4 linked regions of the Arabidopsis thaliana genome follow. The protein of the gene in region 2 interacts with the protein of the main gene of each other region in a biochemical or structural test. Each region holds a gene or a part of one and is shown on either strand. Other genes may lie near its edges.

What was found.
Region 1: the proteins of MYC4 (region 2) and JAZ3 form a complex in vitro, tested with the Arabidopsis thaliana proteins (2 studies listed by BioGRID).
Region 3: the proteins of MYC4 (region 2) and JAZ12 form a complex in vitro, tested with the Arabidopsis thaliana proteins (one study listed by BioGRID).
Region 4: the proteins of MYC4 (region 2) and TIFY10B form a complex in vitro, tested with the Arabidopsis thaliana proteins (one study listed by BioGRID).

What each region holds. Positions count from the first base shown.
Region 1 is NC_003074.8:6,115,858-6,124,710, reverse strand, and holds JAZ3 (jasmonate-zim-domain protein 3), read right to left. Parts: upstream 5,005-8,853; 5' UTR 4,744-5,004; coding exon 4,659-4,743; exon of another isoform or gene 3,629-4,658; coding exon of another isoform or gene 3,583-3,628; coding exon 3,383-3,582; intron 3,123-3,382; coding exon 2,908-3,122; intron 2,833-2,907; coding exon 2,742-2,832; intron 2,661-2,741; coding exon 2,357-2,660; intron 2,260-2,356; coding exon 2,199-2,259; intron 2,123-2,198; coding exon 2,020-2,122; 3' UTR 1,667-2,019; downstream 1-1,666. Other genes in the region: TDX (tetraticopeptide domain-containing thioredoxin), read right to left, coding at 122-186, 270-350, 427-514, 610-750, 912-945, 1,065-1,177; AT3G17850 (Protein kinase superfamily protein), read left to right, coding at 8,466-8,853. UniProt on the Arabidopsis thaliana protein: Repressor of jasmonate responses. Jasmonoyl-isoleucine (JA-Ile) specifically promotes COI1-TIFY6B/JAZ3 interaction. Acts as a negative regulator of MYC2 function. Feed-back regulated by MYC2.
Region 2 is NC_003075.7:9,931,321-9,939,048, forward strand, and holds MYC4 (Basic helix-loop-helix (bHLH) DNA-binding family protein), read right to left. Parts: upstream 4,366-7,728; 5' UTR 4,152-4,365; coding exon 2,382-4,151; 3' UTR 2,006-2,381; downstream 1-2,005. Other genes in the region: AGD8 (ARF-GAP domain 8), read left to right, coding at 5,801-5,878, 6,016-6,134, 6,458-6,890, 6,981-7,256, 7,339-7,464, 7,546-7,647, 7,719-7,728. UniProt on the Arabidopsis thaliana protein: Transcription factor involved in jasmonic acid (JA) gene regulation. With MYC2 and MYC3, controls additively subsets of JA-dependent responses. Can form complexes with all known glucosinolate-related MYBs to regulate glucosinolate biosynthesis.
Region 3 is NC_003076.8:7,086,995-7,094,131, forward strand, and holds JAZ12 (jasmonate-zim-domain protein 12), read left to right. Parts: upstream 1-3,709; 5' UTR 3,710-3,888; coding exon 3,889-4,013; intron 4,014-4,403; coding exon 4,404-4,506; intron 4,507-4,580; coding exon 4,581-4,761; intron 4,762-4,852; coding exon 4,853-4,910; intron 4,911-4,920; exon of another isoform or gene 4,921-5,110; coding exon 5,111-5,207; 3' UTR 5,208-5,545; downstream 5,546-7,137. Other genes in the region: AT5G20890 (TCP-1/cpn60 chaperonin family protein), read right to left, coding at 26-172, 260-575, 675-1,160, 1,414-1,490, 1,716-1,831, 2,003-2,074, 2,173-2,301, 2,403-2,514 and 3 more; AIP2 (RING/U-box superfamily protein), read right to left, coding at 5,669-5,818, 5,900-6,112, 6,387-6,583, 6,672-6,876. UniProt on the Arabidopsis thaliana protein: Repressor of jasmonate responses.
Region 4 is NC_003070.9:28,146,247-28,153,617, reverse strand, and holds TIFY10B (TIFY domain/Divergent CCT motif family protein), read left to right. Parts: upstream 1-3,171; 5' UTR 3,172-3,359; coding exon 3,360-3,507; intron 3,508-3,826; coding exon 3,827-4,004; intron 4,005-4,096; coding exon 4,097-4,374; intron 4,375-4,461; coding exon 4,462-4,519; coding exon of another isoform or gene 4,520-4,523; exon of another isoform or gene 4,524-4,611; coding exon 4,612-4,699; 3' UTR 4,700-5,043; downstream 5,044-7,371. Other genes in the region: FAB1 (fatty acid biosynthesis 1), read left to right, coding at 1-3, 141-225, 335-489, 565-645, 769-828, 938-1,054; AT1G74940 (cyclin-dependent kinase, putative (DUF581)), read right to left, coding at 6,553-6,712, 6,826-7,334. UniProt on the Arabidopsis thaliana protein: Repressor of jasmonate responses. Jasmonoyl-isoleucine (JA-Ile) specifically promotes COI1-TIFY10B/JAZ2 interaction. Activated by MYC2, MYC3 and MYC4 transcription factors.

The sequences.
Region 1 (8,853 bases), on a different chromosome or scaffold from region 2:
AGAAAACCATTGAGATATAAAATCACTCTCCCAAGCCATAAAACTATTGAGACATAAACTTGTTTTACCAAATCCATTTTCAGCACAAACAAAACAAGTTTATGTCAAGAGAAATGATCACCTGTAACGCTACGTTGGCATCACGAATTGCAGCATTTGGCTTCTTAACTTTTAAAAACACACTAGCTGCAGGACAACAATCACAAATATTGAGTATTATCACCCACATTCAGCCGAAAAGGGAGAGTGAACTAGTAAAAGAAAGTTACCTCTAGTGGCGTAGAGAATCGCTGAAGTAGGATTTAGCATGACAGCTTTTGTTAGATGCTCTATAGCTTCGTCAAACCTCCCTGTATACCAATCAAGCATTAAGGAGAAATCTTATGAAGTAGATAATCAAAACCAATTTCAACGGTAGTTATGTACCATCAGAGATTGCCTCCATAGCTTTGCTCTTCTCTGACTGAGCATCATCCCTATTTTCATCGGTCACTTCAGCAGTAGGGTCTCCCATCTAAGACAAGAAAGTAAAATCATCCAATCAGGTAAAAAAATGCATAGAGACACAAGCACCACATAATATCCAAAGATGATAACTTCAACACCTACCGGCTGAGGAGGCTCATTGTCTGGTTCAACTACATCAGAGTTGTCGAGTTCAACATCAGACTCCATAATATCATCATCATCATCATCATGTTTAGGAGAGAAACTGGGTTTTGTCTCAGCCTTATCTTCATAATCTCTTTCCTGCAATTTATAGTTAACTATTCGATCAACATTTAGATAGTGTTGAAGCCTAGAAAAGGGTTTTGTACATCAATTCAACACAAAGATATTAAGAACTCAATCCCAAGTAGCACAAACAAGAGAAACCTAAACATCGATAATTCATAAGAAAGACAACTTACAGTTTTCTCAATCTTCGGAACTTGAGCTCCTAAACTGTACACGATAAGACGGGAACGAGCATCGATTACAAAGAAACTCACAGCTCCATGGAAAAATTCAACTGACAAATGAAATTCACCGAAAGAAAGATAAGTCAGAGAAGAATGAATCACCTTCGGAGATATTCTTTGAAGAAAACCAGACTAGGATCGTGGAGAATCGAAGGATTCAATTTCAACTGCTCGACGAATCTTCTCAGCTCAGCTACTTGAATCGCATCCACCATCGAATTCCGCCTTTTTCTTCTTCTTTCTATGAAAAGCTTAGAAATCAGTGAATCCTTGTGATCGTACGGAGCTGTGTCTGCTCGTATTGGTTTTGATTAGACTGAAAAACGTTGAAATAATCATCGCCGAAAACCGAACATGTCCAACCGGTTTTGTCTTCGCGTTAACTTAACCGCGACTGAATTCATATCCGGTTTATCATCTTTTGCAACATCCCTTTTCGTTGTGCAATAAGACATTGGGCCTTGATGGGCTACAACACAAAATGGCCCACATATTGAAATTAGGATGTTACAAAGAAACTCACAGCCAAAACGAAGACCGAAAAATAATTAGCCAAAACGAATTAAAGCAAATTCTAAAAGATGTTCCATTTTCTCCATATATAATGATGACTTCTTTTGTGAATTCGAGTTGGTAACTGGTAATGTATCAAGCTTATTGTTAACCAGAGTACAAATTAGCAAATCCTATTAAAAAAATCCCCATATTTGAATAGAAAATTGATTAGAGAAATAACTTAGGGAAACAGAAGCGATGCAATTCCATTACATGAATTATACATATGCGAGCTTCAGTGATATATACAAAAGAACAGAGTTAAAAAAAAAGAAACAAACAGTTTCTACTAATTTTCCCAAGTACATATCTGATATGCTCTCATAAGTTCCATTCCACCAAAAAACATGTAAACAAAGTATACACTATCGTATATATAAAGCTAAGGAGAAACTCAGTGTGGCGAGTGAGGAAAAATTAACTGAGACATTGAAAAGACCGCCATTGAAATGCAAATATGGATGTGGAGTGGTCTAAAGCAACCTTCTTACTGTAGATGAAATTAGGTTGCAGAGCTGAGAGAAGAACTAATGCATTCAGACATTGATCTGCGACAATCTGTCGATGACTTCTTGTCTAAGCAATATGGGGATACGCTCGTGACCCTGAGAAACCCACAGCGAGAAAGAGAGTTAGCCCAAGAAACTATTGAATGGTGTATTCTAAAGAAGTGTTGCGTACCTTTCTTTGCGTTTCTCTAAAAACCTAGCCAGGGATGCTTTGCGAGCCAGAGGTAATGCCACTGCATAAGAAACAGAACGAGAATGAAGTTACATCCATGAAAATACTAGTAAGTTAGATGGCGAATGTAGTATCAGGTCTCTGACTTTGTTTTTTACCTGTTGGAGCCATTACATTGGTAGAACAAGAAACTGGTACTGGGCAGTTAATATTGGATCCATTAGCTTGGTTGTTGTGATATGTTGACGTCAAGCCTCTTGTCGCTTTTGTGGCTCCGAGTCCGTTTGTGCTACTTCCAGCTTCAGGGCTAAGATAAGATATTGTAGGCATGAAGCTAGGAGGCATAGCTGAAGAATCGACAGAGGCACGAGTATGATGGACCACTTGTTGATGAGTTTGAGGCGGCGAAAAGACTTGAGGCATAGAGGAACCGTTCCCAGCTAGCAACATTATCGCCTTTGCCTGAGAAATGAAAGAAAGCAAATGAGTACCATACCTTACGAGTAAAAGAGATGCATATATGGAAGAAAATGATTGAGATACCTTTTCAGGAGATATGTCATCGTAAACACAAACTGAACCGGCATAAAAGATCGTCAACTGCGCAGGTGAACCTATTGGCTTGGAAGAAGATCTGACAAAAATAAGTCTTTAGTCAACTATGAAAATGTAGAAAGAGTTTCTGTATGATATGATGACTAGTGGGTACCTAATATCAGTAGTCCCTACAATGGAACCTGGAGGAGGAAGGATTGAAATTGGAGGTGCCATGATAGGAACTCCTACCAAAGGTTGTGAGTTATTGTTATTGTTCATGAAGCTTCTTCCTCCTGGTGCATAATGATGAGACTGGAAACCCGGCATCGACATGGAAACTGCGTTAGTTTCTTCGTGTTGATTGGAATTAGGGAACATCCTCACTCCCTGAGAGTAACAAGCCATAAAGTAGGTGTGAGGCATTGTATGAACTAACTTATCAAAAATGAGAAGCTTAGCTTACACTTAAAATGAATCAGTATTAAACCAAGATTAGATCCACAAACTAATTGCCATGAACTTGTGCTAAACTAGACTCAAAACCAATTACTATATGCTCATAAAACAGGGCTCACTTTTAAAGCTATCTTGCGAAGGATAAAAAAAACACAAGGGTCTTGGTTAACATAGGTTTTGATGACAAATACCTGTACAGAACTGTAAGGAGCTTTGCGGGTTGAATCATAAACATCAGCTACTGATGATGGCATGAAGGAACCAGAGTGAGGAAGATGATAATTTCCAGACTTTCTATGTCTATCTTCTTGAGTTGGCCTGAAGGATAGAAACTGAGAAGAAGAAGCTGATACTTTGTTTGAGAAAGACCAGTTCATTCCTCTGTTGGGAGCTACAAAAGAAAAAGAATAAAAGATAATCAGTTTAAAGTCAAACATGTAGTGTTAACTGTTAACCATAAATGTCTCGAGATCTCCTTACATAAACAACAGAGGATTAATTCAACACCTACTTCAAGGAAAAGATTAGTAACCAACAATGTAGAATCTGATACTGTTGACAAATTCAACGAGGGAAAACCACTTTCGAAAACCGTGTCTAATTCTAAAACATTTGATTGAAAGTCATTGTACGAAACTCCAATAATTTAAGTTTGTTTTAATAGTTTAAATTAAAGAGAGATTCAAACTTTAACCCCACCACACCACACCACATGTTGATGCACTACTTTTATGGTGTGGCACGTTTTGGCTGATAAGAAAACAAAGTTGAAATAATTATATTCCTCGTGGTGAGAAAACTATTATTTCCACATTGTACCTTGAACAATATTCTAACGCAAGTTCCGCTTAATCAACACACAACACAAATACACAATCAATATTTTAATAATCTCATAAACTAATCCAACTCACACAATCAAGAAGTTAATCATCTTATAAACTAATCCAACTCACTCTTTTGAGTATATTTAATCTTTCTACCTACTACCAACCGTCTCTATTTTATCATTTTTGTATCAGTCTCTATACATCCCCTCTTTTCCAACATTTTACGTATTCGTTTTTTTTTTAGTATAAACTAATAAAGTATTTCTCAATTATAAGACTCTTCAAACAAAACAAAAAAATTTACTCTAGTAAAAAAAAGTTTACCGAGTTTAATTATGTTAGAAGCTTGAGATTAGTTCTCGTTAATTTCTCCGACCGAAAGCATGTTTAAGACAAGGCTTTGGAAAAGAACACTAGTTTTTCCAAATCCAAATTCTACATCTCCCGAGAAAAGCAAAGGACAATGTTCTGCTCCAAGCAACAAACTGACAATTCCAGTTCCCGAGCAAGCCATAAAATCAGCTATCCAAAAACAAATTCCATACTACAAGTAGTCCTAATAACTCCTAATCAATCAAACAAATCTACGATTTAAAAACAATCAGAATCAGAAAAATTGAGAAGAGTAATAAATAACCTGAATCTCTAGAGCTTTCGCTGGTTTCCTCCTTGACAGTGATCGGAGAATTTTTCGAACCCAACCCGAGAAAATCTCTCTCCATCTATAATAAAGACACAGCCCGCTACAAAATTAATTCGATCTCAAATGTCTGTTTCGATTAAAACGCGTGTTAAACGCCGGAATCAAGCTAAATAGAGCTTCGCCGGAAAAAGGAAAAAAAACAGAGACTTTTGAGGGAGAAAATGAAAAAACGTGGAATGAAGTTAATTCACCGCAATTTCTAGTTTTATTAACAAATCGCATGCGACATGTGAATCGTACCATTAATTTATAACTATAACAAGAAAAAAAAGATTCTTTTTTCTCATATCCTATTGGCGCAAAAACCAGCTACAGGTTGTCCCGGTTACGTCACCGGATATAGTCGGTTAAAAAGGCACGTGCATCGTCGTGCAGTGTGTGGCGTTTCTTTTTGTGGTGAGACGCGTGGCGAGGCACGTGCGCTATTTTAACGTGAATGATTCACGAGATGCGAAGCGGCAGTTTTAATTTATTTTTTTATTCAATGACAACACTTTTTTTTGTCGGCTGACGCGCTAAGTGTAGCGCGTGAGTCTAACCCCCTTTTTGTCTCACCGCTCAATCTAAAATAGTAAAATTAGTTACACTACTTTCGTGCACGTTCTCTTGACCAAGATAAACATTTGCACGTTGCATTTTTTTGGCAAAATATATTAATTTGTATTTTAGTACTATATTTTTAATCTTTGATTAATCGGATGGTACTATAAAGTAATTGTAAAGATTAGACTTTCATAAAATGATTTAAATACAACAAAATAATTGTTGCGGAAATTTAGTTCCACAACTAAACATTATTAAGCTAAATCTAAATCCTCATGTGATTATGTCATCACTCTAATATTATTTTTTTTAATCCAATTTTTAATTATTTTTTCTGTCATTGTACTTTTATTAATATTTTTCGCGAATTATTAAAGAATGTTGCTTGTTGCTTAAACTATACTTGTATTAATTAAGGTAATTATTGGTACCAAAAAGAAAATATTACTTTAATGTACATATTACTAAAATCACTCGTTGACATCGTTTTTGTGTATTTATAAGATGCATGTGGTCCGGGGGAGGAAATTACGCCATTTCGTGCGTCACTTTCTTCTTAATTTAGTAAAAACTAATACTATACTAAATTTACTAATGTTTTAAAACATATCTAATTATCTCACAAATATAATAATAAAGTTTTCATTTTTTTATGAAAATGAATATTTAAAATTCAAATCTATAGAAAAAATGGAAAGGAGTCAATGATCACAACAACTTGACGATCTCTAAACAAAAAAAAAATTGACGATCATCTCCCACGATAACATCGTTATTTCGAGTCTGGGGGATATGCAGCACACGTCATTTTCTCCAGCCTAGAATTTAGATATTAATATCACATTATTAAGAAAATACTACACTGCAGTTTATTATATACACAACATTCCATATAGATAATAGATCAGATCAGATCAAAAGTGGACCTACAAAGCGAAGATTATATCAAAAGATGCCATAAACGCATCTCTCACGCTATGATCCACATAAAACATCCGAAATTTAATTCTGTTTTTACATCCGACATTTAATTCTTGTTTTCTGTTTTTACATCATTTAATTCTGGTTACCACGACATTTTTTTTGTTTTAATGGTATTAGACTCTATATAGACATACAAAACTCAAAACAAAAGATTCAATGATCACCCCCTACCAAAAAAAGAACAGATTAAATGATCACGAGTTGGCTTAACAACGAAAACTTTTCTCCAACCAAAACCAAACTTAACTATTCTAAATCAAACTCAACAGCAACAGCAACGTCTGTTTACAACAACAACTTAAATAATTTTGTATTAAAATCGAATGAGAGTAAATAATGGCAAAGAGAAAATCAAATGACATATGTATATGCATGATATATAGCGCAGCATTTAACTATATTTAGACTGACTTGAGTAGTTGCAATATTTGGCTCTCTTTTTTTTGAGTTTGGTGCTTTAGTGGATCCTTTGATGGCTCATCCTGCTTCTCGTCGACGTCGAGCCAGATCCAGAGAAGAGCCTCCCTACTTAATGATCTGGTCATTTCTCACCTGTTAATACTTACATTTTAGTTTTTATTTTGATATAGACTTATTTGCTAGTAATTATGGACATCCAGAAGCAATTAGTCTTTCGTGGGCTCTTGACATCGTATGCCGACTTGTTTGCCTAATTTCGACCCTTGTTTACGGCGCCTTCACCGTTTACGCCTCCGCAATAATTTACGATGGAGGTGTACGTATAAAGCTGAGAAGATTCAGGGGCCAAAATGTATCTCCACGTCTTGGAATTTCATGGAAGTTAGAGAGGGCTGTGCATGGTGGAGAAGAACAAGGGGAGTTTAGGGAAAGACGAAGAAGAAGTTTCCCCAATCTGTCTAGAAGATGTCACCATAGGTTTTGGTTATGTTAGGCTAAGAGATTACATGCACAAATTCCACCGTGATTGCATTGCTAAATAGCTTTTGAAGAGTGCACGTTATCCTATATGTCGTGCTTTTGCAAAATTATAAACAATTACCTTTGCCTTCGATTATCTATATAGAGCTGCTAATTATTGTTTTAGACTTTTTCGTGGAATTGAGCTACGACATAATTTGTTTTTTTCCGAGTTCTGACAATCCAATATCGCAGCGATGGAAGTCTTTTGATAGTAATGACAAAAACACCATGTTGATCAAAAATCACATGCAAGAATACAATAGTACACTCATGATGCATACCATTATAGTAATTTATTTCGTCATAAAAAAATTTGGATTCAATCTATTCGATAATTGAAAAGCAGAAAGTAATGTTATTAATTGAGATATAGACGTAACGTGAACACATCATTTAATATTTAGCTAGCAAAATTACTGAAAAATAAATAAAAAATAGTTACAAAACTGTTGATCTGAAAATAAAGAGAAGTAGATCGAACTCATCTTGAACCATCTTTATCTCTTGTGACTTGTATGATCGTTTTGCCTGACTCTTCTCCCTTGACATGTCCATTACTAATATAAAAGTCCGACTAATATGGGCCCAAAATGTAATAAGGAATGGCCCAAATCTAATAGTCATAATAAGTTTGTATCGCAATGAGCCAATGAGGATTTGTTGTTTTGCCATGGACCGCATAAAGTTGGATGCATGCACTGTGTTAGTGGAAACTTTTCGGATTCACATAAGCTAGATCACATCTTGTAGTTGTAGATCATCAGCACTTAAACAATATTTTCATTTATTTATTTTGCGAGAAAACAAAAGATCGTTTTCTTTGTTATCTAAAATTACGAAAATAACATTTTTGTTAAGTAATGGAATAGAGATATTGATTAATAATGTGTTGTTATTTGTGGATTTATATGAAAAAATTGAGTTGTTTTGTTAAGAAATGATTGAATAAAATTAATTTTAGTTTAAGTCAAAAAAGTCAAAATTTAGTCTTAACAAAGAATTGACTGTTTTCCATTTCAAGTAAATTAAATGACAAAGGCACTGAATCTAGGCTTTCCCACTAACAGTTACGCTTTCGTCTTCCTCGTCGCTTCCTCAAAATCCTTAACCTCGAAAACTCTGAAGATCTTCCAGAGAGTCTCAGCGAGTGAGAGAGAAAGCTATTTGTTCTCTCGTGAAGTCCGAGTGTTGGAAATTGACAACTGGATTTATGGTTGGATTTGGTGTGTAAGTGTGTAAGCGATTAGGTTTTGAATCAGCGGAATCGAAAAAATGGTATTCAAGAACAAACTCTTCTTCTCTTCGAAGAAATCTGGATCTTCTAGTCCCGATAGCTCTAATAGTCCCAGATCTGTTGGCTCCAACTCTCCGATACGATCAGATAAGAAGAAGTCTAAATCCGCTTCCAAGGATGAACCTCCGATCCCTATTCCTGGATTTGTTGGAGTTGGTTGCAAGCAGACGCAGATTAAAGATGGTTTGAAGAAGAAGGATGGTTCATCTAAGGGTAAACAACTTTCATCTGAAGTTCAAGCTCACTCTATTGGAAAATCGAACTTGTCTCCTAGTTCCGAGGTGAAGAAACCACCTCCGCCGGAAGTGAAGGAAGGACCTGCTTTTGTTTCTCCAATCATGGCTTCGTCTCTTGGGTTGAACCGGA
Region 2 (7,728 bases):
CTAATTACGTTTTGTGTTAAAAAGTGTTTTTTTTTTCTGTGTGATATCCTTTTGTAGATTTTGATAAATGATGTCTCGACTTATATTTATAAGAAAGATCTCACCAAGGTTTAGATACCGAGTATTTAACTTATGGTGTTTGGCGTATTCACATGTTGGCTATTCGCATGAATAATGCGTACTGCGTAGTATGTTTTTTTTTTATAAAGTACTACTGCGTAGTATGTATGTTATGTATGACAAGGCAACAATCCTCTAAGGAGCAACAATCCTCTAAGAAGCAACAAAAGACTTCTCCTGTTCCATCTCAGTCCTATTGACGTATCTGCGAGAATAAGTTCGTGCAATGAAATATTTTGTACTCTCTCATCAGGAAATGTTTTGTTGTGAATTTGCTAACTATTCATTAAGTTTGTTGATTGACGCTATTCCGCTAACTCTCGTGCTAAAACTGAATTTGTCCATTCAAGAATCAAGCCTTTGTATATATATATATATATCTGATTTCTCTTAAACGATAGATGTAATGAATCATATCGTTTTAAATAATGACTAGCCTTGTTATAAGCTAATTTCTTTTCGGCAGCCCATGTCACATGACACATGCTACTTCATTACACATGAATATATTACATATAGCTACTAGGCTCGAATGGTTTCAAACTTCCAGCTTTTGTTGGGCTTTTTGGGTTTTAGGTTTTAAGAAAATCCAAAATTTAATTTTTCCTTTTTCGTAACAAACTTAAGAAAAAAACGGACTTCTTTAATAAAGAAATCTCAAAACAAACAGAGACGATGGATTTTATCCTTTAAAAAGTAAAATCTGTAACAAATTGTTGATATTATATTCTTTTAAAATATATATATACAAAATGAAGGGTGATGGATCAGTTTAAAAAATTCCAAATCCGCACACACTTTGGAGCATCAAATAAAGTACTCTTGACACAGACAACCATGCAACAACATTATACTATTGGTAAGAAAATTTAGCAAACCAAAGGGGTGGATATTCGATCGTCTTGAAATCTTTATAATACTCCATTAGAATGTATGCGTACTATTACGGCATGATAACTATGTCAATAATCTGCCACTAAACAGTGTTTTAATCTAGTCCAATTGTAATCTCTATTGTAATCAAATTGCCATTATTTAATGTACATTTGGTAACTAATTGTAATCTGAATTAGTCTATTTAGTACATCTTTTACGTACAATTAATCTAAAGTTATCCAGAATGAGAAAACGATCATCAAACAAAGTATAGTTAATATTACATGTACAGATGATAAATGTCTCCTTTCGTTCTTTGTTTTTATTTGGCGATAATGTGCCCTATAATTTTAAAAGCGCATGCTTTCTTCTTATCACTCACACGTTCTCTTCGCACTGTCACTCACATTTTCGAGGAGATTATTGCTAAAATGTTTGGAAACAAACACAATAATATATGTTGCAGAAAAATCTCTTTAATAATCGACCACACATGTCTCCACGATTTTTTTGTATGATTTTAACTTTTTCTTCAAAGATTCATAACCTCGCTTTCCCTCCCCCACAACCCTTTTAAGACATCTTATGTTTATATCCCCATGTTTCATTTTGATTTCACCATTTTGGACCTTTATGACATATATTGATTTTTTTTTATTTTTTTAAAGGGTATTATTCTAGTGGTTTCACTTCTTCTGTCAATATCAAGAAATCCATTTAGCATTTGCATGTTGTGCATCATGATTTATGCGACAAACTTAATTACTCTGAAGTAATCTATGGTTCAAAATACTATTTAGAACGATAATGATCATGTAACATCCACATAAATTTTGAGGTCCTACATTGGAATCTCTAAATAGCTGTGATTGATTTAAATTATCCCTATTGAAAACAAAAAAAAGTAGGTATATTCGTTCCTAACAAATTAGATGCCTCTTTTGATGCCAACTTCCCAATGACTAGTCCCAAATGATGAACACAAAAAACTCACTTGAAAGTGAAATACTCAAACTTTAACTCAAAAGACAACAAAAAACTCCAACTTCAGTCCCATTTGTCTTATTTCTAACAAAAGCCTTATTTACATACATACACCAACAAACCAAAGACTTAACCATTGATCAAACACATTTATTTATCTCATGAAACAACAAACCCCAACCTAATCATATACTACACTAAGAATCCTCTCTAACAAGCATTCAATAGCAACAAGTGGGTACTACAAAATTACCCTTACACAATAGAGTTTACAACTACATTCACTAGAGAAACTTGTGTGAAAGGTTTAACACTTTTTACCGCGGCTTATACTATGATCGTTGTTTTCGACTTTTCGCAGTATTCTCCGGTGTATTAGCCCTAAAGATGCTGACTTCAATTCATGGACATTCTCCAACTTTCTCCGTTAGAGCAACCTTGAGTTGATCTTGCGTGAAAAACTGATTCCCCATTTTCACAGTCGCTTGTTGGATCATAAGATCATTCACTACCGATAAACTCGCATGATTCACTTCCAAATCCAACTCCTTAAGTGCTTCCATGAACTTAGCACCAGGATGATTCCTCTTACTACATTGAATCCTTATCATTGCATCCCAACCAATAATCTTCACATCAACCTCCATCTCTATCAACACACTCGATTCTTGATTCAAACATTTTCGATCTTTTACCGAACTTTTCGCATTTCCCGCTTCTTTATTCATCACATCAATCTGCTTCTGCAACTCTTCTTTATCAGATTCAGCCTTTTGCAACTTAGACTTAAGCTCACTGATATACGAAATAGCATCTCCTAATAGAGAAGCTTTATCCATCTTAGACACATTAGGAACCACAGCTCTTAAAGAATAGAATCTCTGATTCAACTTCTCTCTTCTCTGTCTCTCTGCCTCTACATGATTCAAAGGCTCTTCTCTTCCATTCGCCGGTTTTCTCCCTCGTTTCCTCGGTTTCTTCTCCGGTTCAACCACAACTCTGTTACTCTCAGCTTCTTTAGCCACTGAAGCTTCAAGATCAGAGTGATTCGAGTCACATGGAAGAACAGAGGTAAAAGAAAGCATCCCTTCTTCATTATTCGAAACCGGTGATCTCTTCTTATTACTACTATCTTCTTCTTGACCATTCTCAATCCCATTCTTGAAATTCACCATTTCACAAGATTTCAGAACTTTAGGGTTAGGGTTTTCAACAGAGCTTCCATTACAAAGCTTAGAAATTGGTTGAGAATCAGAATTAGAAGTTGAGTCATTTCCACCATTATTCATCACCGGAGCAGCTACAAGACCAGAGTCAACACCATTAGGTTCACTAATCCACAAACCTGGATCATTCTCTCCTTGATCTGGATTCAAATTAAACGCCCAAGAACCAAATTCACCACCACCATTGTTAAAATTGAAAAAGGTGTCAACTTTATCAACAAGATCTGAACTTTGATGAATAATCTCCGACGAACCAAGCTCAACGACACCATTCTCTGTCGCTACACACACCATTGTTTGTAACCCATAAATCTGACCTTGACGAGCTCTCTCACAACTTGATCCAGCTAAAGCATTAGAACCAGATAACCAAATCGTGTCTGAATTTGAGAAAGCTTGACCAGGTAAACCAGTACCCTTGACAAAGCTCTGTGTCATTGAAACTAAGAAGAACCATTCAGTATCTGTAACTTCTTCATCTCCAGCTTCATCTCCTCCTCCTACACCACCGGAGATTAAAGAGTTGAGCTCTCTAATCACTCTCTTACGATGCTCTTGTTCAGCTGCACTAGCTGGATTTGATTTCTTCTTTCTAGACTTCTCTTCTTCTCCTTTGTAATAACCATCTCCCCAACCTAACAACACTGTGTTGTTGTTGTTGTTGTCTTCTCCGGCGAAACCGTGAGATGATTGCCAGAACACGGCGTAAGTCCAGTTCTCGTTTGCTCCTTCGATTAAAGCTTGGAGACGTTGCTGGAGATTATCTTCGTTGACTTGAGGAAGAGGAGGAGGAGGAAGTGGAGGAAAAAGAGAAGAATGATCGGAGCCGCCGCCGATGAAAGCTTCCATTACCGATGCATCGTCGTCGGTTGACCAGAGATTTGTTGTATCCGTTTTTGATTGGTTGAGATGGTAATCGGTTACTTGAACATTCGTCGGAGACATAACAGTTCTCTGACGTAGTTATAAAAGAGAAGACTTTTTGTTTTTCCGGTGAGAGACAGAGGAGAGAAGTAAGTTCTTTAAGCAAAATATTTGTGTTTGGTTTGATTGTTTCGGGAAAAGGAATCTGTTTATATTCATTTTTTTTTTTTAACTCTAAAGAAAAAGAAATAGTACTTTTATTTTCACCAAATATGAATTATTGATTGAGTTATTTCTGAAGTTGGGTTATATACATAACTTGATTGAAAACAATTTTTTTCTGAATAGTAATTGTTTTACAAGAAAATTACTAATCTATGTAAGAGAATCGGATCAAATTTGTCAAGGAGCCTTTTACATCAAAGTTGATAATTAAGAACAATTAAAGAATGAAAATGATATTTCACTTACAATAATGATCTTGTCTCCCTCACTTTTGGTATTGGTGTCAATATCTGCTTTTCTTGTGATTAATCCCATCATTTAATTCTTGTAAGCAAGTAGCATCAATTAATTTAAACAATGAGTTTGTAGAATTGCAGTTGTTCTTTGAGGCAGGAAAATATGATTTAAAGGGATTAAGGGAGTGTTAACACCAAAGATTTGGATACAACATTTATATACAAAACCTATAAAGCAAATATTGTAGACTTGTAGTTTAACATTTTCTTATAAACATATTTTTGTTGGCTTCGTTATTGGACACAACTTTTTGCAATGATAAAGAACAAAAAAAAGACATGGGTGATTTTGATATCAAAGGTGAAAGAGACGCAAGAGCATAAAGGAAAATAAAAGGTATAGTATTAAAACAGAATTAGATTTAATTACGAAAATTATACGACCACACAAAAATAATCACATTATGTCGTGTGGGTCTCGTGTTTTTAGTGGCCAGATTTCATAATATGCTTTCTTTTTCAGTGAGAGCAAATGCCCAAAAATGTTGGTCTCTCTATGTTCATATCCGACGAAACTATAGTGTCTACTGTACAGTGACATTTCGGAATCGCATAAAAGCAAACAAAACAAATTAAGCTGGGCTTTACTTTATATTGGGCCTCACACATTTTGGGTAGTTAATAAAACTAGCCCGCAAATATTTCACATTTGACATTTTTTAGTGTATGGTCAACAACAAGTATAGCGAAACTTTTAGCATATAATATGTGTGAGACATATTATGGAAAGAAGGCAAAAATGAAAACCGTTAGTTAGTTTGAAAACCTGGAGTTATAAAAAGTCGTATTTTAATTTACTAATACATGTTAACTTCAGATATTAAAAACAAATCCTGTACGTATTAAACCATATGATAAACATAATATTAATACGAAAAATGTATAACACACGATTAGACAAATTAGGAAGTAATCTTTGAATTGAGGTTTAAGAAAAGGTGAAAATGATAAGCTTTCGTCCGTTTTATATCATCCATGTTGCTTCAGAAACGGAATTTACACACTACGTGTCGTTTCTACGTAATGCCATTTTCGTAATTTCTAGAGTTTATTCAGGGTGTTTTCGTCAGTCTAGTCAGATCAAATGTTTCCATCAAACGTTAGTACTGTTTCCTTTAGATTTACAGATTTTGAAGAAGAAAGATTTCAAATTAAAAAATCTTTCAAATTTCTTCAAGGAGGTGATCAAATTGAACAATTTGATCTACAATGGCTTCTTCTTCTGCTGACAATCTTACCGACAAAAACATTGTTTTCAGAAAACTCAAATCAAAATCTGAGAACAAGGTAATCAAATTTTTTTCTGAATTCTTCTCTTTCTTTGAGTATCGTCAATTTGATATTGTGTATGTTTAGATCTGAGAGTTGTTTGACTAGATCTTTGATTCATTTATGCTAATTTTGGTTTTGATTTGCCAATTTAGGTCTGCTTCGATTGTAGTGCGAAGAATCCAACTTGGGCATCGGTTACATATGGGATTTTCCTCTGCATCGATTGTTCAGCTACTCACCGGAATCTTGGTGTTCATATCAGCTTCGTCAGGTAAACAATTCATCATCTGATCCAATTCTTCGGCATTACTCTAGCTCAGATTTTGGCTAAGGTTTAAGCTTTTGAGGCCTTTATAAGGGAATTAGCTTAAACCGTGCTCAGGTGTTCAGAATTGTTGGCTAATGTGTAGCATTACGTTGACTTTAGTGTGGTTGAATCATCAGATTATGTTTTAAGGTTTCAGAATTGTTGACTTCAAAATTTCACCAGTGTCTTGAAATTAGACTCATTCAAATTATCGATTCATTGACTAGATAATATTGAATAATGCCACATTACGTTCTCAAGATGCTACCTTTTCCGTTTTTGTATAGATCAACGAATTTAGACTCTTGGAGCCCGGAGCAGCTCAGGACAATGATGTTTGGTGGTAACAACCGTGCTCAGGTTTTCTTCAAGCAACATGGATGGACTGATGGTGGCAAAATTGAAGCTAAGTATACTTCAAGAGCTGCTGATTTGTATCGGCAGATTCTTGCTAAAGAAGTTGCGAAAGCGATTGCGGAAGAAACTAATTCTGGTCTTCTGTCATCTCCCGTTGCTACTTCTCAGTTACCGGAAGTATCTAATGGGGTTTCTTCTTATTCTGTCAAGGAAGAGTTACCTCTTTCGAAACATGAAGCTACCAGTGCTACTTCTTCGCCTAAAGCTTCTAATACAGTTGTGCCTAGTACGTTTAAGAAACCTATTGGTGCTAAAAGGACAGGAAAAACTGGTGGTCTTGGTGCAAGGAAGCTTACTACTAAGGTAAGTCTTAGGGGTATTTTTTTGGAGCATTTACGTTTTTGTTCTCTTGTTCAGATTAAAAGATTGGATTTTGTTTTTGGTGAAATGTAGCCAAAAGACAATCTCTATGAGCAGAAACCGGAAGAAGTTGCACCGGTTATTCCCGCTGTATCATCAACAAATAACGGGGAAAGCAAATCATCAGCTGGTTCATCATTTGCCTCTCGGTTTGAGTACAATGACGACCTGCAATCTGGAGGACAAAGCGTTGGTGGTACACAAGTGCTTAACCATGTTGCTCCACCAAAGTCGTCAAGCTTCTTTTCGGATTTTGGAATGGACAGTTCTTTTCCCAAGAAATCAAGCTCCAACTCTTCAAAATCTCAAGTAAACACATAATTTCTCAGTAACAAAATTAATAAATCGAAATTCCAAACCTCTTCTAAACCATTTCTTTTTCTCTTACTAGGTTGAAGAATCAGATGAAGCAAGAAAGAAGTTCACAAACGCAAAGTCCATATCTTCAGCTCAGTACTTTGGGGATCAGAACAAAAACGCTGATCTGGAATCAAAAGCTACTCTTCAGAAGTTTGCAGTAAGTAACAACATTCACCACAATCTCAAAGGAACATATAACAACATCTTCCGATTCTAATGCCATTGTTGGAAATTACAGGGCTCAGCATCTATCTCAAGCGCTGATTTTTACGGTCACGACCAAGATGATTCCAATATTGATATAACAGCTAGTGATCTCATTAACCGACTTTCTTTCCAGGTAAAAGATCCATACACCTGAATCTCTGGTTCTTCTTCACATTTTTAACCTTTTGACGAATTTTTGATCAGGCGCAACAAG
Region 3 (7,137 bases), on a different chromosome or scaffold from region 2:
CGTTCATGTGTTTGTGTTGAGTTTTTCACATCCTGTCTTCTCTCCTCCTAGGAGCACATGTAATGATTTCATCCACTCGCAATATCATCTCAGATGCTTCTGTGGCTGAAAGCAGAACCGCTTGCTTCACTTTGAATGCTTCATAGATTCCTCTCTCTTCCATATCTCCTACCTGTAAACAATCAATCATCATCATCACAATTCAAGTCTAGCCTTGCACATTCAATGGCGAATCCTAATGTTTATAAAGTTTACTTACAGCTCCAGTGATGACGTCGATCCCAGCGTTACACCCTTCAGTGTGGTGCTCTGCACGAAGCTGAGCAACCAATTCGGCACTGTCTAAACCAGCGTTGTCAGCGATTGTTGTCGGTATAGCAACTAGAGCACGTGAGAAAGCTTCAATGGCATGAGATTTTTTGCCAGCAGTTTTCCTTGCAAGCTCATCTACTTCCTTTGCCATCACCATCTCTGGCCATCCACCTCCAAGCAAAACTCTAGTATCATTCACTGTTTGAGAGAGTACACATAAGGCATCATGGAGTGATCTTTCAGCCTCATCTAGGACATGGTGACTGCAAGAAAAAAGAACCCATACAAAAATTGATTAGTGAATTAGAAACAGAATAAAGTTTAGACGAAGTCTTTCAAGTAATGGGAGTGAAAATGGATACCTGGCCCCTCTTAGGACAATTGAACAAGCCTGGCCCATTTCACAACCAGAGAAATGAATCAACTTGTCTTCACCAATCATGATTTCTTCTATAAGCTTGCAATGCCCAAGCTTAACAGACTCTGGGTTGTCAAAGGTCGAAGCAATTTCACCACCAGTAACCAAACCAAGACGCTCTATTCCCTCAAAGTCAGCATGCTCAATAGCAAGTATACCAGCATCAGCAAAGAGTTCCTCAGGGAAATTGTAGATCAACTGCCTGTTAACAAAGCAGTTGATTCCGTGGCCTATGATCTTCTTCACCTTGTCTTTCATTTTTTCCTTCTCAGCCCCTTCAATCTCAGCAACCTTGGTCATGGAATCCACACGGACACGTGCACCGTAAATCTTCACTTTATCGGTATCCATAGCAGTATTAGCTACTAAGATATTTGCATTCTCTATGCGCTTAGGCTGCCCAATTCCTATTTTCTTGTCAAGAATAAACCTACAGGCATAGATTTTAAGTTGAGGTGACATGAGACCATATTACTCGATAGAAGAAGAAACACAACACAACAAGATGACATGATGACTATCAACATTCCAAAATAACACTATAAATGAAATTAAGGTGCGTAAGCTATGAAGAAGAAAAGAAACACGACAGAGTTACCATGAACAGATGAATACTAAAGAAAGATCAATAGCTCAGAAAACTGAATTTGAACTGACGCCAAAGGCACAAAGTGTTGTCTTACCCTTCATCCAAAAACGAATCCTTCAGAGACCCTCCAGGTTTTTTGATGATCTGAATAGCTTCCAAGTTTGTGCTTCCCTGTTGAACGATAAAAGCAGAATGTCAGAAAAAAATCATATAACAATCCAAAACGAAACGATGCAACTATGGGAAAGACTAATGGTGAAATGATAATAGCCTAATTTCATGACATTTCGTCAAAGGAAGATCTTCTTTCATGAGATAACACATAAATCAAGAGAAAAAGAAGGAAGGAACACATGACATTGCTGAATCAGTTTCAAAAGGAGGAAGAAATGGAACCTTTAGCCTGAAAACAGCATCCACGGCCATTTCTGCAAAATGTTCCTTGTCCTGTGAGAGAATTTTGGAACATAAAGTAGTCATCGCAATCTTCAACAAGTCTGACCTAAACTTCTCTGCATTGACAAAAATACAATGCTGTAAAATAACAGTGTGATTTCCGTTCTGTATTCAACTGAAAGGAAATCACCGCTTGAACCCAACAGTCGAAGTAATCACACAAACAAGAAAATGCTATACTTAAATATGTCAGCATAACAAGGTTTAACCATCTCTATAATGATTACCTGCATTGTCCTTGTTATCAATGACTCTTTTCAGTAAAGCATTACGAGCACATTCCGAAGCCATTCTGTAACCTAAGAAACCAGAAAACGAAAAAATTAGAAATCATTGCCATAGTGAGAGAAGCTGATACAAAGTTGACATCTTAACACTTAAAGCTCCAAAAGTGTACCTGCTATGATGGTCATAGGGTGAATCTTAGAAGCCACAAGCTTTTCTGCTTCCCTCAGAAGCTCGCCGGCCAAGACAACAACAGAGGTAGTTCCATCACCAACCTCATCATCTTGAACTTTCGAGATGTCTGAAGAACAAACCAGATACAACGAACTGTGAGAGAAAACCCAACTAAGAAAAAACGAATGTGAAAACTTCATGCCAGAATGTCGCAGGGAAATTACATACCAACAAGAACTTTAGCTGCAGGGTTGTCTATGTGAAGTGACTTGAGAATAGTAGCACCATCGTTAGTAACAGTGACCGCATGACCTCTACCAGTAGATTGCAAGATTTTATCCTAAACAATAATAAAAAGGATTCAACAATAATCAATAGAACCAAATTGAAAGTTTGTAGCTTTCTAAATATTCAGAGATCGGAAATTACCATGCCCTTTGGCCCTAAAGTAGACTTAACCAGATCACTGATAGCCATTGCACCAACAAATGATGCCTAAAAGAGCAACAACAAAAGAAAAGAAAATCAGATTTAAACAGTAGAAGAGTGAATCTGAAAAACCCTAAATCCTAATCGATTCAAAAGACTCACCATCCTCGCACGTTCTCCCTTCTCTTCACTAGCATCATCTTTGAAGATCTTATCGATCTAAATACGAAATAGCTAAGTTCAGTTAACGGAGAGCACTGGGGAAAAGCAAAAGGATTGAAAGAGACGACGGAGGAACATTACCGGCATCGGGAAGAGCGGAAAAAGAAGAAGGAGGCTTCTTCAGTATCGGAGATATCCAAGTTAGTCGAATCTGAGACTAGCGAGAAACAATAGATGGGATCGTTCACGAAGAACGAACAAGCCGAGAGGATCTCGAAATATTGAGTGTGCTTTTGAAGAAGAGTAGAAAATGAGAGGAGAGAGCCAAAACCCAGATCTTTCGGAACCCTAAATGAAACTCGTAAAGACCAAACTACCCTCGTATTTCCCAGATTTCTTATGCGCCCTTCAGTAAAAACTAAAAAGTTTAGATTAACCCTTAACCAAAAAGTTATAAGTTACATTAAGAAGTAAATTTTATAGTTTCGACAATTTTGCATTTTGTTTGATTATATAGAGGAAAAAAAAAAATGTTCCATATACAAATTTGAATTTGGTGATGATTTAGCGGTCGAATACAAAAACAGAAATAAATTAATTCGTGATTTGTATGCGAATATTGTTACTAAAAAAAACTATAAATGTAAAGAGGCTTATAAAATAGAAAGAGAAACATTATAAATGTAAGCAGTCAAGGTCCATTTTAGAAGTCATTTTAAGACGACTAAGCCCAACAGTACTTTAAGAGCCCAATGAATCAAGGTCCAGCAAACTCAATTAGTTTAACGTCTCAGCCACTTATAAATTATACACGTTTGGAGTTCCGGATAACCGAAATGAGAAAGCATGTCCCACATAGAAGGCCAACGACACCGTATCATATTCGAGCACGTTTCTAATTACCCTCTTGTTGTCTTTTACTGTCGTAGCACCAAAAGTCAAACAATAAAAATCAATATCTATCGCCAGGTGTCAAATTACAGGAGCTTCTGAGAAGGATAAATCTCGGAGGTTCCCGGTCTGAACGACGTAGAGACGAAGCGAAACAAAAGTACTCTAAGGGAGAGAAGTATCAAAATTCTCATCGGAAAAAGACAGATCTACAAATTTTGAGAGACAAGCCATGACTAAGGTGAAAGATGAGCCACGCGCTTCCGTTGAAGGTGGATGTGGTGTTGCCGACGGTGACGGCGGCGCGGCTGAGATCGGCGGTACCGGATCTGTTGAGAAATCGATTAACGAAGTTAGGTATGAGCTGTGTTTACTGTTGATTTCACATGTTTTTATCTGTTTCTCTCTTTGCTTTGAGTTTAGTACTTAAAATTGTATCTTGTTTCTGATAAGGAAGATCAGCATTTCGATCTGGTTACTTTAGTTTCTATTTAGGGAAAGTCATATTTCTCAATGGAACCAATTTGTTTTTTGGCTGGAACAATTGGATTCTTAACAAACTTGTGTTTTTCAAAGTCCTTTAATGCATACATAAGTTTTCATGTGAATTTGATTAATAGAACTTCACCGTTAACATGTGAAATTGGAGAGACTGGATTCATATGTGGAGAGTTTTCTTAATGTTGCATCAATAAGTCCATCTTTATAGTGTCGGTCACAAGTTTAATAGATCTTCTGCTATTGAAGGTCCACGGAGATTCAAACCGCTGAGCCAACGGTTCCTCCAAATCAACTTACTATTTTCTTTGGTGGAAGTGTTACTGTGTTTGATGGACTTCCATCAGAAAAGGTTGGTCCATTAGAGCTTTGTTGTTGTCAGAAAAACTTCAGAATTTCTGTTCTCACTGTGATCTATGCCTATAGGTTCAAGAAATCCTTCGTATTGCTGCTAAAGCAATGGAGACAAAGAATTCTACAAGCATCAGTCCTGTCTCATCGCCAGCACTGAACAGAGCTCCTTCTTTCTCAAGCACATCTAATGTGGCATCACCAGCTGCACAGCCATTTCCTATTCAGCCAATCTCGTTTTGCAGATCCACGGCTGGTAAGTATTCGATTCAACTGGTTATAGTAATCTTCAAACCTTGAAAATGGATACTCTCATTAGTTTCTTACAATTATGTTTGCCGTAACAGATCTACCTATTGCAAGGAGGCATTCGCTTCAACGATTCCTCGAGAAAAGACGGGACAGGTATGCAGCCTTTAAAATTACACTTCATCCTTCTCCATTTCAATGGAAATTCAAATCTGATCTATTTTATTCAGTTTTTGATTGATTACTAATACAGAGCTTGTTAATGTACCTGTGAGAGACTTGTAAAGACAGATTGATCATAATGTTTAACCTTGATATTGCATCTAACAATAACATTCACTTTTTTTTATCTGCAGATTGGTCAACAAAAACCCTTACCCTACTTCAGACTTCAAAAAGACAGATGTCCCAACAGGCAATGTCTCTATCAAGGAGGAATTTCCAACTGCTTAGCAGAAGATCAAACCTCCACATTAAGCTTATAAGCAAACTAAGTAAAACGTTTTGTCAATATAGTAATTAATATGATAATCTATCATGTACGCTGCTGTGTGTAATGTGTTGTATGATAGTGTCTGTATAGGTTTGCTAGACAAACCGAAGATTGTTTCCATGTCTGGGAGTGGTCAGATATGTTTGCCATTTTACAATTCTACTGAAGAAACTATTGTAGTTAGTAACACTGTCCTAGAGTCTATCTAACTAATGACTCTTTGATGTTATGTTATTGAACTTGTCATCTCTTCAAGATACAATTGTGTGTAAAGTAAAGAAGTCTGTGTTGTTATTATAAGCTTTCATACAAAAGACATTGAATCTATATGTAAAATGGGATTTATAATTGTGAATGATGAACAACAATTCGGAGATGTTTCAAGGAAAGACAATGGGAGTGTGCCATAACTGATTGAAATTTAAACGTACATATATTCACCTCCGCGGACAGCATTCTCTGCGCCCTTCCTCTCTTCTTCGGCCTCTTTCTCTCTCTCTTTCCAGTTTTCGTATTTCTGATCGTCTGTTGGTAATTCATGGCGGCATATAGGGCAAGAGTTATGCTCGTCCTGCCATAAAACAATATGAGCATAAGCTTTATGTTCTTACTTACTAGTAAGCTTGAAAGAATGGGATTTTTTTTTTTATACCAGCCAAGGCTTTAGGCAAGGAGGGTGAAATGTGTGCTTGCATGGCAATTCCTGCATCTTGTCGCCAATAACTAGATTCTCCTTGCAGATGCAACATTCTGCCTCTGCTCCAAACTTTTTAAGCAATTCCTCGGTGAAAATAATGACTGGGAGTTTCTCTACAACTTCTTTACTTGCCGGTGGAGCTCTTGGTGGTCCACCATCATCTAGTATCTGCATAGAACACATCATATATCACTTTTCAATCATGAAGCTAAGAAAAAGACGCTACCAATACAATATTAGAGGTTGAGGTTAAACACTCTTGATACAGATGAGTGAGACAACCAAGTGGAGAAACTCAATATGCAAAAAACAACATATGAGTAGAATGCGGATGATTAAGAATTGCTTTCATCTCTATCTTTAGGTGAAGAAACTTGTGATATCAGCTATGTGTGATAGTACATAATCTAAAACTAGTAAGGAAGAAAAGAGAAGGCATTACATCTGGAATGATCATGTCAAGACCATTGATAAGTTCTTGCATCAAGTTAGCAGTTTCCCCAATAGTGTTTTCAGTAGGACCATTAGAGGATTCACCACCAACGATAGAAGCGAAAGCAGACATGAGATTCTGCTGTACTAGCCACTGAGGCTGTGGCGGCTCACGATCAACCGTAAGATGTCCCTCAAAAAGATAACCTGCAAAAAATTCACAAGAGAAATAAAAATCATCTCCAGATAAATTTCACTTAAAACCATCAAAAGCCAAACTAAATGTTTCACAAACCTTGTGAGCTCTCTGTTGGCTGATTATCTACTTCGCTTAACTGCTCCTTAGCTTGAGCAACGCAAGATTTCAAATGTTTCTTCTCAGAAGCATCAGAGACAAGTCGCTCAGCCTCTTCGAAAAGACTCAGTCCAGCAACCCAAAATCCAGTAGCTGTATATCTTGTCTTAAGAACCGTAGCGACACGAGATACAACTATATAGAACTGCAATGGCAATCAAATCAATACTATGTCACAGAGGGTAACTAAACAAAAACAGATCGGATTAAATGAAATTTTTGACATGAACATGAACTTTCTCCACAATTGAAATAGAAAAACAATAAAAGAAAGATATTTGATTCCTGATTCAATCCTCAAAAGTTAAACCCATCATCAGACATAAGCAATGAGTAAACGTCAAGGCAGGCATAAACCCTAACAATTCCGAATAATTTTGAATCTATTGATCCGAAAATCTAAGAA
Region 4 (7,371 bases), on a different chromosome or scaffold from region 2:
AAGGTATATAACTTATTCGTTCTTTCTGTCATTTCTTGTTTCCCATTTTTAAATCACAAAAGAAACTTATATCCAAAGCTTTTTTTATTGCTTGCTATGGAACGAGTTGTGAGAACATAAGTATTCTGCTTTTCTTTCAGAAAAGAGGTGCAACTATCTACGCAGAGTTCCTCGGTGGGAGTTTCACATGTGATGCCTATCACATGACCGAGCCTCACCCTGATGGTAGTTTCATTTTCCCCTAATTTATATTAGTCTGCTAGTCAACTACAAATTTGAAATCTCTTTTTTCTATAATTTTTTTGTCATTATCCCATTTTTCTTAAATCCGCAGGGGCTGGTGTTATTCTCTGTATTGAGAGAGCGTTAGCTAGTGCTGGGATTTCCAAGGAACAAATAAATTACATAAATGCACATGCAACCTCAACGCATGCTGGAGATATTAAGGAATACCAAGCCCTTGCTCACTGTTTTGGCCAAAATCCTGAGGTAGCTTCAGTTCTTTGTTACAAAATTCCGAAGTGCCTTTTTATGTGCTTTTCTTGATCTTTCTCGATGTGGCAGCTTAAGGTAAATTCCACAAAATCTATGATTGGACACTTGCTGGGAGCTGCTGGGGCCGTGGAGGCTGTTGCAACTGTGCAGGTAACTCATTTGACTCGGTGTATCTACAAGGAAGGAAGTGTTGTTGAAACCAAGTTTTAGCATAGAGCGAAATTATGTGCAATCTTCGCATTTTTAATGTTAATATTCTGTTGCTATCTACAGGCGATACGGACCGGATGGGTTCATCCAAATATCAACCTCGAGAATCCAGACAGTGGAGTGGTATGTTAGTTTCATATGAGTTCAATACCTATACAAAGACCTTTTAATGTTCGTAAAAAAAAACTCTTGGGAGTTTTAATAATCGTACTGTGAAATGAAATTGGAGCAGGATACAAAGCTGCTGGTGGGTCCTAAGAAGGAGAGACTGGACATTAAAGCAGCCTTGTCAAATTCATTCGGGTTTGGTGGTCATAACTCCAGCATCATTTTTGCTCCTTACAAGTGAAAGCGAAAGCAGTTGCTTGTACTCCAAACCTGATTGTATAACTTGCTGTAAGGTAAAAAGTTACATCCATTGTACATTTGTGTATCATCAGATTCTTAGAGGAATTGAAGGACAGTTAACTCTTTTGACCTTTCTATATTTATTACTTTGGCTGAGATGGATCATTGGCAATAATGAATTGGAAGTTTGTGCAAGTTCCCTTTGAAGTATTGTCGGTCCAGAAATGCTCTAAAATGATTTGGGATGGACTAAGAATTTGTTATGAAGCTGAGTGTTTAAATTATGTGCAGTGTTTTACAAGAAGTTTCCCATGTTATGCTAGTGTTACGTCGAGGGAATCAACAGAGTTTGTTCAACTACCAAGAGCTAAGCTAAGTTTCTTAGGATCAAGATCTGATGAGCCAAAGACTTGGACAGGAGCTAAAACGTGCTAGAGATATCAGAGTTTGGATTCGCCATTAAAATTCTGTTTCTTGTGATACCTTCTTATTGGAAATCTTTGTAGTCTTTACATTTCTATTGTTTAACATGAAATCTCAAAAAATGCCAAATCAATTCTCAATTTTAAATTTAGTAGCTCTTGACAGTTTTCCCTTTGTTAATTACATATATAGAGAGTAACTAAATCATCTTTTGAAAGGTAAAAACTAAAAAAATATATTCCAAGGGCCCAATGTTTTACCACTTTCATATGTAAGCTTATTTTCTGTTAAATATGTGAAAGAAAGAAGAGGAATGAATCAGCTGTGAAAACCAAGAGCAAGTATAAAAACATGGCTAAAAGGGTATCAATCAGCCTTGTATAAGAGAGCCATAAGTAGATAAAGTTTCTACAGTAAAAACAGGAATATAGAGTACTATTCCTTAATTAGCTTATGTTCTTCTATTCTTCTTGTGACCTCTATCTTGCATTTTTGTGACCACCCCACTTGCCTTCTTCTTTTTGGTTGCATACTCTAAATAATATCCAGACTTTGATGTCTTTATGCGCTCTGGGTTCTTCTTGTGACCCCTCTTCCTTGTAATTGTATGTACCTGCAGCTTCTTCTGATTTTGTTTCTTATGGATATGTTTGTGATGTATAAAATTTTGTGAAGATGTTTATAAAACAGTTAAAAACCAAATTAACCAATCATCCTTATTTTCTCACGAGCCACTCTATGAACCTTACGTTATCTCGATGTACCTGTAATGAGTTAGCAATTACTACAATCCAAGTCAATAAAATAACAAGTTGGACGTTACGTTATAAAAGAAAATCAAACTTATTTGTGTGTTCCTAACAAACGCATGGGATAATAACAAGAGAATAAAAGACAGAGTGATAGGATCAACGGCTATTGTGCGTAGGAGAACACAGCTGCTATATAAGCCGCGTAACAGGTGATTACTCTGACTACGACACCAACAAGAAAAATTCTCTCAAATGTGGGCAGTTAAGTTAGACACGTGTAAGGTCGCGATTCATGGAGGAGACGTGCTCTTCCCGCTTTTTGTAATTATTTATTACTGTTGTCATAAATAAAACACTAAAAAAAAATTAATAAAAGGGAAAATACAAAACGTGATTTATGGATCAAATTTGCATTGGTGGTGGAGTTTTGGTTATGTAAGACCCACACCGTGTTCCCTCTATCTAACGCCGTTAATCCTCTTTTTTCCCCCAAATCATACCGTTAATTCTCTTTGAGTGCTAAAATATCACGCCGGTCTATGAGATTAAAATAGTAGACTAATTAATAGTGCTAAAAATACATAAATTAATGCCAAGAGATTCATCTTAAAAAAAAGGATATATGAACCAACTAAATGGTATAACTGAAAGACTATCATAATCAAATTTCATCTGAACATTGATTTGTTTGAACTAATTAATTTTAGGATTTTACGTTTTCATAATTTTTTATTTTATTTGAACATCTTGTAAGGGTAAAATGGTAAAAACAGGAGTAGTAAGAGGGTGAAATGGTTATTTCAAGTGTGAAGCGTGGGGACGTGGGTGACGGTGGTGATCTGAAACAGTGGTCTGCCGTTAAAACATTAAATTAAAACACGTGTTTTAAATGTCTCTATGTTAATTAATACTATAAGAGTATATTTTACTAATTTCCGTATCTGCAACCAGCGAAAAAAAAGTAATAAAGAGGTCCTCCATTTCTTCCTCGTGACAAAACGCACTTGGCAGAGAAAGATAAACAAGAACCCTAAGTTTTTTTATAAGATTCGAGAAAATTCAACAACTCAGGAAGGAAGATCCTTTTGCTCCAATTTCTCAATCGAAACGATTTCAATTTCGGTTTCAACGATGTCGAGTTTTTCTGCCGAGTGTTGGGACTTCTCTGGTCGTAAACCGAGCTTTTCACAAACATGTACTCGATTGAGTCGTTACCTGAAGGAGAAGGGTAGTTTTGGAGATCTGAGCTTAGGGATGACATGCAAGCCCGACGTTAATGGTAATCAACCTTTCTCTTTTAGATCTGTTCATTTCGTTTCTGCGAATTTTGAGTTTCCTGTTGCGAATTACGAATTATGAATCGATTACATGTTGTCTGGAAATTGAATCGTTGTAGAGAATCGATGATTAATGGATTTTGAATCAATTTCTATATATGTATGTATGTGTATGAATTTGTGGAGATGGTTCTGTGTTTGGTTTAAGCATAATCCTCTAAAGCCATAGGCCTGGTTTAGTCATTAAGTAGATTTTGTTTTGCAGTTGTTTGAGAGATTGGTGAATGATAATAATCTTTACTTTTGGATCAATTTTCGCAGGAGGTTCACGTCAGCCTACAATGATGAATCTGTTCCCTTGTGAAGCTTCAGGAATGGATTCTTCTGCTGGTCAAGAAGACATTAAACCGAAGACTATGTTTCCGAGACAATCAAGCTTTTCTTCTTCCTCTTCCTCTGGGACCAAAGAAGATGTACAGATGATCAAAGAGACTACTAAGTATGTGTTTATATGTATATAGTGAAAAGAATCGTCTCATATAGTAAGCTATGTTTCATCAGTTTAACTAATTTTTGTGTGATTTTGAACAGATCTGTGAAGCCAGAGTCTCAATCTGCTCCGTTGACTATATTCTACGGTGGTCGAGTTATGGTGTTTGATGATTTTTCTGCTGAGAAAGCTAAAGAAGTCATTGATTTGGCTAACAAAGGAAGTGCCAAAAGCTTCACATGTTTCACAGCTGAAGTAAACAATAACCATAGTGCTTATTCTCAAAAAGAGATTGCTTCTAGCCCAAATCCTGTTTGTAGTCCTGCAAAAACCGCAGCACAAGAGCCAATTCAGCCTAACCCGGCCTCTTTAGCCTGCGGTAATTGATCTCAGCCTCTTTTGGTTCAACCATCTCTGAGCTTGGCTTAGTCCTATTTCTCTAACTTTCTCTCTTTTTGATTTGTAGAACTCCCGATTGCAAGAAGAGCTTCACTTCATCGGTTCCTTGAGAAGAGGAAGGATAGGTAATGCATTTTAATGAAAACATAATATCTTGTTATTCCATAAGTTCTTGTTAAGCGAATTTCTCAATATCCTACTCGTAAACCTTTAACAGGATCACATCAAAGGCACCATACCAAATAGACGGTTCAGCTGAAGCGTCTTCCAAGCCTACTAACCCAGCTTGGCTCAGTTCACGGTAAACTTCGAGCCTGTCCGACCCAGAAGGCACAACTTGAGAGACCTTCTTGTAAGATTCTTCTGATGCTCCATCGTTACAAATATCAAGCTGCTCCTCTGTTCATTTTTTCTATAGATTAATTTCACCCCTAGTAGTTTTGTTTGTTTAACTCCCCCGAAAACTCATTATATTTGTATGAAATCAATATCAATAGTGTTCAATGTTTGCTTCTGGGGTTTAAGTTTTAGCCAGTGTGTATAACCCTTTCCTCTGCCGATCTCAACATTAGCTTGCAACTTTTGTAAGAAACATCACTTGTGTTTTTGTGTTGATGGCCATTAATATAATCCAAGTTTATTTAATCCGATTGTTTGTTCGTCACTTATTGAGAGCTGAAGCTTACAGTTAAGGAACAGAAATACTTAAAGCATTCTCGAAAATAAAGAAATGTCTAAAAAATGATGATTTTCTATCAAGTATTGTCGTGTGAAAGATTTTCTTTAACAAGTCTGCTATTGTTCAAAATACGTTTTAACCTATCTATCCATTATAGTATTAGCATTTTCGTTTTGTTGTTAAATACATGGCACAAACTATGTAGACTATTTTTGGTTAAAATACCAAGCCAGTTACAATTTTGTTTTTCCCAAAATACTAGTTATAACTTTGTAAAATATCCGAAGTCCATAATAAAAAGAGCTTCATAAATATCCAATAAGTGGAGTAGATCAGACCAGGCTTGGTAGGCCACGGGAATTCTGACCCACGATAACTTTTTTTCGTTCGGTCTTGAACAATGATTTGTTCGGTCTTGAACAATGATCATCCAACTAACAAAACGTAAATTTGGTCCAAAGACTGGTCCGAAATTCGTTATGATTAATAAGCCCGAAGAACCTAAGATCCAATTTTATCCGATTTGGAAAAAAATAACTGAATTTTTCAGCATTAACAAATCGCCAAGACTACGTAATTTGGATCGGACAGAATCGGCCCCGGACTTCATCTAATCAAAGTTGTTCAAAATGGTAGGGACTAAAGTTTTTACCAAAATATCATTGTTTTTTTAGTTGGGGAAAAGGATCTTTTATTAATTTCTGACAACGGGCCAGGATACAACAAGTTGCATATTTAAGGGCCCACGTGCATACATTGCACTAAGAATCATAATGATTTAAAACTCATAATTGTGTTTCTTCAAGTCTTAAATTTATTAAAACGTTATTTTGGTTTCTTCATTAAAATGATAGTACGCGTTCTCTATTATTTTTTGAAAGATAATTTAAGTTGTTTGTAATTAAGAAACTGAACTCGAGTAATAGCAAATTAGCAACACATTACATTTTTGAACGTAATTTTAATTTTATACCTCTATAAATATTTTGATTGGTAACGTTTTCTTTAAAATAAAACAGAAGTAAACCCACAGGACTTTGTATTTTTGATCAAAAAGTGTAAACATATTCAAACAAGTCTTCTAGCCACAAAGTTTTAGACTTGTGGAAAAAACAAAAAAAGACATGTGTATTGCACAATCTTACATTTTCAATTGATTGATTCAATGTTTTGGATACAGGGAATTGAGAAATTGGCATATATACATACATACTTGTTCTACAAAGCTATTTCACGAAATGATTATTGATTTATGTGATTCCGAGGAAAAGCCATAAACATTACTCGGTATTAAAAGTTAACAAAAAGCAAACTTCTATACAATGTGCTTTTTAACCTAACCAAAAATTTCACTTTTTTTTTTTTTGTTATTTTCTAACCTTTTTTCTTCTATTAAGGTAAAATGGAATGATGATCACTTTTTTTTTTATATATAAATAAAATATACTTCTCTTCGTATTATTGTGAATTGTGATCATCCTAAAATACGAATACTCCGGCAGATAATCTCTGTCCGGCGGCGTAAGGAGAGCTCAAAACGTCGGCGTTTCTTGAAACTTGCGTTTTACATTGCTCTTGTCGTTCGTCATTCATTATTTGCACTGATCTGCATTCGGCACTACAAAATCCCATCTCTCCTCTGCACACAACCCAAAAAAAAAAGGATCAGTTTCTAGAAAAAATACCAATAAAATATTGAATTAGTCTCCAATTTAACAAAGATCCAAGAAGCAATAATGCGATGAAACTTACTTGTACATGTATATGTCTTTGCCTTGAAGTTTCTTCTTACACAAGCAACACGAACTCAGAAACTCTGTTGGACCCCTAACACTCTGTCTTTCAATAACCGGTGGTTCATCGACGGTAACCATCGGTTTATGAACTCTCCGATAATCATTTTCAGACAATTCAAACCCGTCGTCGTTGTAATACACTTTGGTCGGCCCGTTTGGGCTCGTAACATAAGTGTATTCCTCATCCGACAGATCAATCTCCGGGCACCTGAATCTCCCGGAGTAACGAACCGGATCATGCCGGTTAATCCCGTTGCTAGTTTCCTCCAACGCAGCAACAATACCCAAACCGACACCACCAGAACCGAACCGCTTCGAGTGAACCGGGGAGGGGAAGTTCAAATCCAACGGACTTCTCGGACTGGCCGTGTACTCCTCCGGTTTAATAGCAGCAGATCTGCTTCTTGGAACCAACATCTCAGACAATTTACGGATCATTAGATGAGGTCTCTTGCTTAGTATCATAATCAAGAATTGAGAAACTACTGTTCTTGATAAAGAA